Caenorhabditis elegans: one gene and its partner. The protein of the gene in region 1 interacts with the protein of each later gene in a biochemical or structural test. Each region holds a gene or a part of one and is shown on either strand. Other genes may lie near its edges.

The links. Proteins that work in one complex are often made in the same cells at the same time.
Region 2: of the proteins of npr-4 (region 1) and flp-5, one has a biochemical effect on the other in vitro, tested with the Caenorhabditis elegans proteins (one study listed by BioGRID).

Annotation. Positions count from the first base shown.
Region 1 is NC_003284.9:12,547,357-12,554,610, forward strand, and holds the start of npr-4 (G-protein coupled receptors family 1 profile domain-containing protein), read right to left. Parts: upstream 4,322-7,254; 5' UTR 4,284-4,321; intron 4,234-4,283; 5' UTR 4,166-4,233; coding exon 4,101-4,165; intron 1-4,100.
Region 2 is NC_003284.9:8,526,702-8,532,889, forward strand, and holds flp-5 (GAKFIRF-amide), read left to right. Parts: upstream 1-1,619; 5' UTR 1,620-1,620; coding exon 1,621-1,700; intron 1,701-3,330; coding exon 3,331-3,454; intron 3,455-4,064; coding exon 4,065-4,139; 3' UTR 4,140-4,332; downstream 4,333-6,188. UniProt on the Caenorhabditis elegans protein: FMRFamides and FMRFamide-like peptides are neuropeptides. GAKFIRF-amide has an excitatory effect on dissected pharyngeal myogenic muscle system.

The sequences.
Region 1 (7,254 bases):
TTTATCATATTTTATCACATTTAGCTTGTCCTAAAAATTTTCGGAAAAAAGTCTCTAAAAAAATTTTCCAAGTTCCACCGATTGAAGATTTCCTATACAAGGAACTTTTGTTGCACCGGAAAAGGGAAAACAAGGCAATTGAGTTCTTGTTACTGATGTTTCAAAGTCACGCAGCCAAACGGCCCAAGCAGTTTGTAAGTTTTGTATACTTACTTATAATACTTCTTATAATACTTATACAACTTATAATACTTATATAATACTTAAGTTTTGTAGTTGAAGGAAAGAAGGAATGTTGAAGAAAAAAGGAATAAAGATAATGACTTTATTTTCACTAATTCAGAATCCGAATCTCTAGTTCCTGGTTTGCACCTCTTTTGTATTCTAATTCGAGCGATAAATGCCATACATCCAATTATGTACAACTTTGTTTATAATTTGTTTTCAAAAAAATTGAAAGGCTTCCGAATTGTCTGAAAAAGTGATATCAAATAATTTCAAGAATATAGAATTAAATCTATTTTAAAGTTCAAAAATATTATGAGAAGAAATAAATTTCGAAGAAAAAATGCGACGGAATATTTTAGGAAGGAAAGGGAGATCATTCAAATTTTGAGAACTCTGTAGTATCTCTACCGTATTCAGGAGCTTCAAATACGTACGGATTGTGTCTGGGATTGCGATGATATTCGAAAATAACAGGAAAACTAAACGCCACAAAACTGTATGTTGAAAAACAAGAGTAAACAAACTGTTTCGCTGGACATCTGCTGAGATTTCATTTGACGCTATCAATCTCCGCTAAAGGCGTTTGAGTTTCTAAGTTAGATTCTAACAACTAATATATTTTTGCCGATAGGAAGTTTTACACGATTCTCAATTTTAAATATATCCTCTAATATCCTCTCAGATTATCTGTTTTTGTTCGATAAGCTTATAATTTTTAGCGATCAAAATTCTGCTGTTTCAAACTGATTAAATATTGAAAAAAAGCGATAATGAGCGAGCATTCTCGTCAAAACCTGTAGGCTAAGAAGAACTTAAAATGTACATATTTAGCTTCCAGGTTCTTTTTCGAAGTACATAAGTCACTCATCAAATTTTTACGCAACCTGAGACTATAAACCAAATATAAAATCAGAAAAGAAAACAACATGTCCCAATGTGATGAGAAAAAACTACGATAAGCTTATGAGAAAAGAGGATGTGTTTCCGGAGGCTGTATATATTGGGTGGGATGGGGTAATACATATTACATACGTGAGAAATTGCAAAACATGATTCACGTTTTTTGCGCGTGAATACTCAAATTAAACCATCATTCATAATTGATACAAGCATTCAAGTTGAGCAGAATGCGCAACATGTTTTTGTGATCAATTGGGGAGAACCTTTACAAAATAATTAAACATTCTTTCTAGGGAGAAATGTGTATTATGAACGTTTTAAACAATTTTGAAAATTGAAACTAATACGTAGAATGTGTAATATTCAAAAAGAACCGAAAATTGAAAATTTCTCAAAACATTGCGAGTTACTATAAATTTGAAAAATTGCCCAGTTTCAACTCTTCAAGAATCAAAAAAAACTTACAAGCGTTTTCCAAGGTTCACATTCATTTTTGAGAATACAAAGAATGATGAGAAAGCAAATAAGAAATTTCTCAAATCTCAAAAGACAAAAAACGATGTTAGTTAGCATTTTCTTACTCAACCCTCCCAAATAGTAACATAAAAATAAGCTCAATTGATCGGACAAATGGCATTTGTGACGCAATCTGCTGAACATGCAAATAACTTCCGAAAATATTATACTAAGCCTATCGCAGCGCAACATGAACTTGGCCAAGGAATCGAAAATTAAAATTTGAATGTGAAAGGCTTTTTCCGTTAAATGCATTTCCCAACGCTTCTCAGATAAATATCTTCTTTAAGCACAAAATAGAATGAAGTAAACGAATTTCCACTTTACTCCTCCGTCCAAGTCTCATCTAGATATATCGGGCCATTTACTATTTCTTCCAAAATATTCGCAAAAGCTCGAATCTATTGCACATCTTGTTCCGGACAAGCCAGACTGCGTCAAACATGCATATAGCAAAACTTCAACCTTTGTTCATTGTTTTCCTCATCGGGACCGGCTAAAAGGTGTACTTCTAGGTTGGTGACTGGTGTTTTCATAAATTACGAGACAATTGGGTGCCTACGTTGTCTCGTGACTTTGGTTTTCTTTTAATGTTCTCATTTTGTATTTGTTCATCGCGGTCAAAAAAACAAGAAGACGGAATGAAATAAATGGTTATTTTCCCAGAACCACTGATTTTTTAAGTGGAAGTAGTTTTCATAATTCATAAAAAATTCATTTAAAAAAAGCAAATGGGCTAGACAATGTGGTGTTTTCAAAACAAAAGCACATCACAATTATATAAACTGAAAATTATTTTTGAGGTCCGTAACAACCAGGAAATATGTATACGGTAATATTGCAAATTATTAAAGATTTTGGAAAAAAAATCATGTTCTTCAGCAGGTTCAAAGGAAACAAAAGAAAAAGCGGAGTGCTGTGACAATCTTAAAGCTGTAGTACGGTAGGTGAAAAATAATTGAAAACCATTACAATAGTGGTGCTAAAATTACCAAATATCAAAATGAAATTTTTGAAATCTTGACTCGGAGTAAAAAAAAATTTCAATAGCTTTTGAAAAGTTTATCATAATATTTTATCATTTTTGCAATATTAAACGGTTTTAATCATGTCCCCACTGGCTGTACAACATATCTTTCCGCCTACTCACAACCAATCGTAAAAACTTTTTTCCTCTTTCCCCTTCCCACATTTCACGTCAGCATTTCTGCAGATACCTTCTAATTTTGTATTTCAGATACATTATAATAACACCATGCTGGCATTTTTAACATTTTGAGCTTTGAGCATCAAAGATCGAACACTATGCGTTTCTCTCCTAATATATAAGATCAATTCTTTAGCGGCTCTATTTTAAAACGTCATTAATGAAATGAGTACGGAGAGAGAGACAGAGAGGAACTATAGGTGGGTGGTATAAAAAACTCGAGAGAGCGGGAGAAAGTTTCAAAGTTTTCCTTCCTTCTAAGGAATTTGATTATCTTAGGTCAGCGAAAAGTTGCAAAGATGAAGTGGTTGGTCCGTAGGAGAATGAAGTGCCAAAAAGTACAACGAGTAAGAGGAATACTGTTTTTGGATCCAAAAAATCTAGATTAAATCGTTCAAGAAAAGTCTTACTATAAGAATCTTGAAAAGTAAAAGTTCAACATTTGAGCTATTGTAAAATCGTTAGCAAAAAGTCAAAAAGAGCAATGTTCACAATTGTAGCGATTTTTTTCAAAATCACAAACGAATTGCCATTGATCTGCGAAAAACACCCAACAAACTCACACCACCCTTTGATCCATATTTTTTAGTTTTACTGGGTACAATTTCTCAATTTTGCCAATGATTTGTTTCTTGTTTTACATGATTAGCTGCAATTCAGTATTGTCTAACGCAATGCACCAAGAATCTTGATTGGCACCGAAAAATTGAGAATGTTGATCTAAAGATCAAAAACCCTTTTTTTTTTGGTAATGGAAAAACACCAATTCAGAAGAAAAAAAAAAGAACTTCACCAATTGAAAGTCGCATGACTCGTTCTCAACTGAGAAACGTGGAAAACGTCATCATTTGTTTTCTAGAAAAGGGGTGGCATTTTAAACTTGTTGAACTAAATTCAATTTTATGCAAAACGGAAGAAGGTTTCGAGATGTGATTTCAATTTAAGAAAGTTTTGACGGCGACGAATAAGAGCTGGTTGGCTCAAAAACACAATCGAGATTTGTCAGAGAATGAGTGATGGTGTGACAAGTGCACCACAATTTTGGAGTTTTCACTCGAAATTAGTGTTGTTTTTTTTACCATAGCTCGTCAAAATAGGCAATAATCTAATATTCACAAGTGTCTGAATTTGGGCTTAGAACTTTAACACTTGAGTTGTGGGAGGGTTTCTCTTTCAACTTTCCCAGAAACTAATAGACACCTCATTTGAAATGCGGAGGGGGACCCATTTTCCATTTTCAGGAACTTACCTTTCTCCAAACTTTCTTGCTCGGGTTATATTCCCGATTGTTATTGTGCCAATTTCCAGTAACATTGTTCTGTATATGTGTCTTCACCTAACAACTTTTCAGTTGCAATTCTCCGTAAACTTTGTGTTGATATCTGAAAATCAAACGATTGGTTATATAGTTTACAGTGACCGAGAGGCTTACCGTGATTAAATGAGAGCCTGGTGCCAAGGCAAGCTGGGCTGAAACAAATTGTATTTAGATAAATTCAAAGAAAGAATGGACAAGAAGAAATTGTGAGAAAAGATTAATATTATCCTCAACATCTGGCACCAAAAGCGTTTGTTTTCAGAAACGTTTGTACATTCTGCACTAATGCAATAAACTAATCGAGTTGGAATGAGAAAAATGGAGCAAGACAGGCGGAAAAGTTAATTTTCAGATTCTTAGAAAAAAACAAACAAAATTTTATGGCGGAGGATTACAATGACAAAGGATTTTTGCCTTTGTAAGTCTTTTCACTTTTGAAGAAACTAGTCTAGACTAGAACATGTGAAAACACCTTGAACTTTTTTTCAAGTTGTTTTAACTTTGGTGAAAAGTCAAATACTGGAAAATATTTTTTAATTGAATAAAATTATCTTTAATTTGTTTAAGGAGAATTTCAAAACCAACTAGAACAGGTAAGAAAACTTCAATTTTGCATTACTTGAAGATGGGTGAACTAGAAAGCTTTACCGCCAAACCTATTTTTTTTCAATGTGTACTACATTAAAGTTCTACAACATTATTTTATTTTTCAAATTAAAACTAAATTATATGTTATCCATAGAATTAGTTGATTTCATATTTCCTTACAATTGGAAAAATAAGTTTCGAGAAATACACAAACAATAATCACTACTTTTGTTTTTCAATCAAATTTGTGGAATTTAACATTTTTATATACTAATCTAAACATGACTCTACAAACAAATTTTTGTTATACTGTGAAACCGAAAATATAAAACAAAAGTGCTTCGATTTTTGGAGTTGAAAGAACAATTCGAACTCCGAACTCACTTCATCAAAAACCAACATGATTTTCTTCTTGTACAAAGATCGCAACAATTAAAACGGAAACAAGTGTAAGGTAAATAATAAAAAAGGACCAACCGACTGCAGATTGGCTTGCCCTTCTTCCGCAGGCGTTGCTCAATTGTCTTAGAGGGTCCATTTGGTTGTAAAAAAAGGGATTGAAGCCAGGAAAAAGAAGAATGGAGGGCGGAGAGCGGAGGAAAAAAGGTTCGGAGAAAAGGATGATAGAGTCATGCGGGGATGACCTCTAAGGATGTGCAAATGTTGCGTTGATTATTCAAGTCTGCGATTGGATGATTGGAGGATTGGGCTGATTTCGTCATTTGCTATCTAAGATTCAGGTGAATGCAATGAAGGTTCGGAGACCAAGTGCGATGCGTAAGAAAATGGTAATGAGCGCTGGGGATATTGAATGAACTTTCCCAGATCTTTGGAATAATTTTTATAAGACAACAGAAACTTGTTTTGTTGGAAAGGCCGTAAATTCTGTTACAATGTTATGTATATCAAATCTTTTTGCTTTTTTGTAAAATTTTTTTGATTTAATATCGTGTTTTTTTTCAGAGACTGCTTTCAAAATACATAACTATTTATCAGCGTTTATAAATTAGTAAGAAACACTGGAATTATCCATAAAAACAACAAAGTCAGTGAAAAGTTTGTGGGCTTGTTGCACAGATATTTATAATTTTGTTTTTTTTTTCGTATGTATTACATTAATAAATAAAAACATGAATCTTCACAAAGTCCGCTTTGTTTCAGCTGTGATTTGATAAAAAGCTCATCGAAAATTTCAAAAATTGTTCGTTTAAAAAACTTTCCAATCGTAACTTGAGATTGATTTTTTTGCAAAAACTGAAAGTGTTCCGGCAAAAAAATTTCGGCTAAGTTACACTGCGGGTTACGTTTGGTAACACAAATTCCCATAAATTCATCAAAATTTGCGTGCTTTGTGCCTCACTTACTTTAGAGTCAACTTACTTGCCTTAGAGGATACATTAATTTTTAATTTTTTTGAAGTTCATGTGTCTTCTGCAAAACGAAAAAAACATTGTGCATTTATTTAAATTTTCTTTTTGCTAAACGTTTCCAGAAAAAACCAAGAACTCATAATTTTCAAAGTTGGGTTTAAAATTGATTTTTCAAATTTTTGAACTTTGGTTTCAAAGGCCATTCACAGAAAATAGGCGGTATACATTGCAATTTTGAAATGCCTATTTCTAGCCTGCATTTTCACCGATAAGCTACAATTTTCGAGTAGTTCAAGCGTCAGTAGCTGAAGTATGTATACATGTACTTTTGAAGTTGTTCTTTTCTTTGATCCGCCGTTCATCAAAATCAAGTTGGACTACGGTACCTCTACGGTATACTTAACTAGTTGAGTGACGTCGTCTGAGGTTTTGAATGATCGTGAATCTGCAAAGCGAATCTATAGCTATTAACATGAGAAAAACAATAAAAGCGGCACAACGAGGGAGTTGTCCTGTCTCGTAATACGATAAAAGCTCTCAAAAACTCCGAGGGGCAATGAAAAATAATTTTATGCACATTAACTCAGAGAAAAAGCTCGAAAGACGACAAAGTAGATCTCTTAAGGTTTATTAGTCAAATCAAAAAAGCTATGCATAGAGAAAAAAGCAAAAAGGATGAAAAACCATCAAAAAATAAAATAAATACCCGAAAATAAATTTGGTGCAAAAATGAATCAGTGAAATAGTTGCAATAACGAAATGGAATAAAATGGAATGAAAAATAAACGGATCCACAACTTCGAAAAAATAAACGGAACATATTTTATTTTAGCATTCATGTTTTTTTCCTAGAATTTTCTCAGATAGCACATGGCCAGAGACTTGAATAGACAAATAAACAGACGTAAGAGCCGGCAAAAACAATTGTATCAATTCAATGCCATGGGGCGTCAAAAAGTGTTGAGGAAGTCCATGGTAAACAGAAGCAGGTTTTTCAAAATAAAACGATTGAACTCTGACTTTGAATTTTTCAAGATATCTATTCGTAGTCTGTGCACAAAATTTCATGGGGGTTCATTTAGAGTATCTGAAACTAGAAGGTGAGTATGACTACTAGGAGTAGACAG
Region 2 (6,188 bases), 4.0 Mb from region 1:
TCGTGAACACAATAAAACAACTCTTGGAAAGTAATATTGAACACAAAAAGTACAGATGATATGGCCAATTGGTACACTTCTGCATTATTTTAGTACTCTTAATCAAGACTGAAAGAGGGTAACAAAAATTGGTTCTGTTGTGTTTTAGTATTGAATAAACCTTTTTGAAAACAAACTTCTTTAAGAAAATGAAACATGATCTTAAAATTCACACATGTCGTAAAGAAAGTCATCGAGCAAAAGTTCAAATACAAAGTTCGCGTAAAAATTCAATATGCTGAAAATTCTAGGCTTTACGGTTTGTTTGCTCGCCCGTAGACTTTTTCATTCCCGTAGCTTCCAGTTTTAATTAAAACTTTTTTGTGGGCCAAAACGGACACGTCATGTCAGGCCCCGCCGTTTCCTCCTCCGACATGTCAAATCGGTCATTCAACACTGACATTTTGCAGTTTTCGGAGAATCTCCCATTTACTACGGAGAACGCGCCGCCTAGAAACAGAATAGTTCAGTTTTTTAACTTTAGTTTAGTTGTTTTTTTTTGTGGTATCTAAGAAAAAAGAAGCAATGTGGGCTTGAAACGGGTGGATCTGAAATGAATCTTGCAATTGATATTGTTTCTTGTGTATATTATGGAAAACGGAAATGAGAATTCGGCAAGTGAACACAATACAAAACTCTCATTTTGAAGTAAAACCGGTACATGAGCACTTTTATCGGTTCGTGGAAATTATGAATTGGTACATAAACAAAATTTATAGTTGATCGTCGGAGTGTTTTTTGGGAATAGCGTTACATCGATTTGCAAGTTTTCTAAAAACCAAAGTTGATGCTCTATGACGTACTAAAACAATCACTAGAAGTCTATTTGAAATTTGAAAGGTTTCTGATTAATTTTTTGTTCTGATTTTCGTATTATTATTTTTCTCCCAATTGATAGTGACCCTGGTTCGAAAACAAATAATCCTACTCTATTATTTGTTTTCAATCAGCTTTTCGGCTTCTGACTCCATTTCTATTATCAAACTCTGGGTTAAGTCGTTAGTTTTCCGGTACCCCTTCTATTCCCCCAGAGGCTTACTAGATCGTTTACTTTTCAATCTCCACGGGGTTAAATGGGAAACATAGAGGGCATTCCGTTTTGCAAAAAGAGCTTGTTAAAGTTGAAGTCTGGAAGGAAGTACCTAAAAGTACCTAAAAAAGCTTTTGGGTCGTGTGACGAATTGCGCAGAGAATTCAGAAATCTGCTGGAGGATTCTTTTTATATTTTTGATCGCCAATATAGACGAGCTAATTCATCAAATTATGTCATGCAACTTTGACGCAAGTTATCAAAAGCATATTGCTATTTTCTGTTGTAGTAGACATGTTGATATCTTCATTTCTCCAATTATCTTCTCTTCCTACTATAATAACAACTCTTTTAGATAAAGTCTCTTCCCAAAAATAACAACTACAGTTTCAATTTACTCCTTATTTCCCATCATCTCTAGTTCAGCTCCCAACCGCTCCACATAATAGTAGAGATGGGGCGGAGCCAGTTGGCAAGCCATGCGCAGCGTCCCCGCCTTTCAGCTTCCACGACAGCACCCGCCTTTTACGAAACAGTCATTCCTCGCAACTATGAGCAGCCGAAGCACCACGATTGCTTTCCTCTTCATCGCCACCCTTCTTGTCTTCCAATGTGTTTCCGCTCAATCAAGGTAGGTTAATTTGATGTCTAGGGTTCAGGTGCTGTGATGAGCCAATTGTTAAACCCCAACTGATCAAAACTGGCCATTTGTTCTTGATTGTGATCATTGCTTCGGCTATTGAGACTATCATGGACTTCCTAAAAAGAAAAGGCGCTAGGACTTAAAGTAAAATTATTAAAAGGATTTTAAAAAAGGCTGACATAAATTACCAACTCAGACAGAAAAAAAAACACAAAAAACCAAAACTCTAACGGTGCGTGAAGGTCTAGATTGAAACAACAACGGAACCTATTAAAGTCGTAGGTACAAGCAAATTATCTTTTTCAGAAAAACTAAATACTAATACAGAAATAGTTTCAATATCCAAATTAAATCATCGTTGTACAGCTAATTGCTCAAAAGTGACGCATTTTTCATCATGCACTTTATTTCATCATCATTTTCGTAATTTTCTAATTATACAAAGATGCAATGGCGTGATTAACACACATACTAGATTCTGTTCGTTTTCTTCGGCATTTCACTTTACTACTAGCATCTTGTGCGCTTCCTACGAACTTATACCCCGGTCTCCTCCCTTTTTTTCATTCTCATGAGCATCGTAATGTGACGTGAGTTTATTCTTTTTGGGGGATCCCATCTTGTCTGTTGGACTCTTGGTGTCGGATGAAGCGGAAATATCAATCAGCCATTCAAATTCAATTGCGAGTACTAGGAGGCGCGCTTTTTGCTTATTCGCTTTGCATTCGATGCTTCCGGTGAGATGCACTTTGACCCATTCTTTCCATACTATTGTTTAAAAAATTGGAACAACTTTGTTGGGAGGCCAGAGTCTTCAGCAAGGAAAAAATAGAGATGACGTTATAAACAAAGAATGGAAGTGTTCAATGACAATATCTTTTTGAAATTACTTTTCGAAATACTCAGATTTTTAAACTGTTTGTTTTGTTTTAAAGCTTGGAATTTCCCATTCAGAACATTGAATTCCAAGCATTGAAAACAAAAACAAAAGTATGTCAAACAATAAAATAGTTGAGGACTAGTCTCTAACCTAATAGAAAAGCGAGGGTGGAATTCATAAAATTAGCTTCTTTGACCTTCAATGTAACACAAATTAGCATTCCGTTCTCGATTTATCCCGCTTCTTTAATATCAGGCAACTTTGAAACTTCCCTGTTTCATTCTTAGAAAGTCACTGGAGGGATCAGAGCACTCACAAAACATGTCTCCTTCAAAAAGTTGCCACCACTTTTTTGCTCTAGTCGTTCAATACAATTGGTAAATGAAGCGTTTAATTTTGCACTTGGCGTGCTAACATGACGCATGTGCTCATTGAGTTTGGAAAAGTAAAGTAGTTGGTTAAGCGACAAAAAGGAAAATGTGGTAACCTTCTTATCTTTTCATTTTTCAATTATTTTTGAACAATTATATGCAGAAATGTAGGTCGTGGTGAACCGAAACACAATATTAAAAATATGATAAATGGTGGTAATTAAAATAGACACATTTTCAATATTGACGTGTGAAATACGTAAGAAAAAAGACAGGAAAGGTTCTATGACATTTTAAAAAAATAAAACAACGGTCTCTTTGTTCACAAATATGGACTTTTCAATCTAATAACACCGAATATTTTCAGTGCCGAAGACGCGGACTACCTTGAAAAATACCAAAGAATAGCACGAGCACCAAAGCCAAAATTCATCCGATTCGGTCGTGCAGGAGCCAAGTTTATCAGATTTGGGCGATCAAGGAACACTTGGGTTAGTATTTCAAGAAAATAATTTTTTCAGTGAATCACTGCATAAGTCGAAAACCAAGGTTCTGAAAAGCTTGTTTCCTTGTGTTTGTTGTACACATAGCTTAAGCTGCTACCATTGTAGAAAATCCTATTCGACCCCCTTATTACGTATGCAAATTATATTCTGAAAATCTTGATTTTTATCTGTTTTGATATTTGCTGAGTCTAGAGATTTTTTTGTAATGCTGGGGAGCACCTTAAAAAAATTGTTCTAGTCGTATATGAACATTTACAAATTTCGACTAATAAGTATATGATGAGACTAATAAAGGATAAACGATGCCTGTCATTTCCAGCGAAGACGGAATACTTTTAAGTCACAAGAAAAACGTCAGAATTTCATGAAAGATCGACGTGACTGAGTACACACTGCATTACAAGCTATTAGCTTTCTGAAATATTAAAAACCCCGCTCCCCCACTATCTTTACAAACGGAATACATATATGAAAATATCACGCTAAAAAGCACTATGTCATATGCCAACACATGGATATGAGTAATGACGCATCCGAAACGTCAACTTCTCATGTATACTAACCATTATGCCATCATCATTTATTGAATTTTCAGGAAGATGGATACGCCTCACCATCGGTCAACGAGCTCTACGTTAAACGTGGAGCCAAATTCATCCGATTCGGCTAATTAGGAACAATCAACTCGTGTCGAATCACTGCTCCTACGTTGTCTAACTGCATAGTGTTTCTTAAAAAGTCCCCACCTGAAATATACCCTTTCACTCATTTATTTGTCCTCCTATTTTTTTCGAACTGTTGTGCGAACTGATATTCTTTGTGTTTTCCATTTCGACGCCTTCTCAAATGAAAAACGTTGCGTTAAATTATTATGTTTCAAAATTTTTGAATAACAAGTATCCATAATCCATGATCTTAAAAAAACAATAAGAAACACGTAAACAATTCATTATAAAATATGGACTTAATTAGACGTCTCACCTAAATATGTTTCCAAAAATTGTGTGCGTTCTTTTTTTTAATCGAAATATTAACTAAATACTGCAATCTAGTCAATCAAATGACATGTCAATGTTTGAATGTGGTTTGAAATTTTATGCCAAGGAATCAACACAATTGAACAATCATTTCATTTTGTATTACTATTGCATGTGTCAAAAATACTTAAAAACTTATTTTTGTTTAAATCTCCATACACATATCTAATCTTCAAAACTTACGATCATCCCAATTTGGTTTTTAGAAAGTGGTGGCAGTATAGATGTTATTTGAAATGTTTTTTCGTTTACTAATTTTTTTTGGCTTTGGTAGCCTTGAGTTCTACAGAAAATTGAAAAGTTGGTTAGAACAGAGGTTTCAAAAATAATTTATTTTCGAATTTTGGTTACAGCTAGCACCTCCCTGTCTTCTATTACGGTTTCACACTTTGAGTTCAATAGTTCTGTTTCTTTAAAAAATAACTTTTTTTGAGCTCAGAAATTCAGAACTTCTTATAAACAAAACAATGACGATTATGGAAGAAGGATAGGGAAGTGGTGACAAACGTGCCCGTCTAAATTTTAAAACACCCTCTCAGGACACTAGACAATAGAATTGATGAGATGTGCTTAGACACTTATCCGCGTCTTTGAGCAAAGATGACATGTATTTTTATGAGGGAATGTAGGATGCCTTACAATTATTATTAAGTCTTCAGCGTTACACGCCTGGAACGATCGAACAACACATAACTTGTATTTATTTTCGCAGCGACTATGCTATTCCCGGAGAAGTCTTTTAATTCTATTCCGTGAAAACTGAAAAATAACGGTTGATATTCTCTCTCATAGGCAGAGAGCTTCCATGAACTTGTCATTTTCAATGCATGAACCTTACGATTTGCTATTTTAATCCAAAATTTAGGTACCCCACGCAGCTCAGTTTCAACCCATTGAGATTGACACGTCACAAGACATGGCAGTTTATTTGGTATCTCGGAGTGCTTGTGTTAGAAAGGGCACCTCATGAGTAGGCGGAAAGATTTGGAACGCACTCATGTAAAGAATTTAAAAATCACGCACAGCGTAAAAAATTTAATCAAGATTTTAGGTGACGTTGACTGCGACCAGTCATGCAGAAACTTCATCAACTCTTTCAGACCTAAAAACATAAACGGACACAAAAAAGTCGTTTGATTTGTGGGTGATAACTAACTATTTTAACTATTCAATCAGTGGACACATTGAGAATAATACTGGAAATAAATTAGAGAGTGACAAATATTTTATGGCCACGTGAAGGTGGGTAAAACACAAAGATGCTGGGATATGATATCATGACTAGGCTTGCAGTCTTGCAGTCATACAACAAGTGGGAGTAATAATAATTTGATTTATTTGGGAACACTCATCAACTCTTGTAAAATTGAGATAAATAAAACAAAACCAGAAATAAATATTGAAGCAAAAAAAAAACACTAATAGGAAATTTCAAATATCATATATTATATAAAATGTTTCAATTTGTTGAACATTTCAAAACTGTACATCTAACAACTCAATAATACGCACGAATAGTAAGAGTACATTGCGACAAACGCCCATTTTTTTATAATTTGGAGAACTGTAAAACGCGTATGAGGCTAGAAGCTCTCGTAAATTTGGAGCAATTTCTGGAGATCATTGCAAAACTATGATATTCACGCTGATCAATGCACAATAGTTCATCTTACAAATTAGGT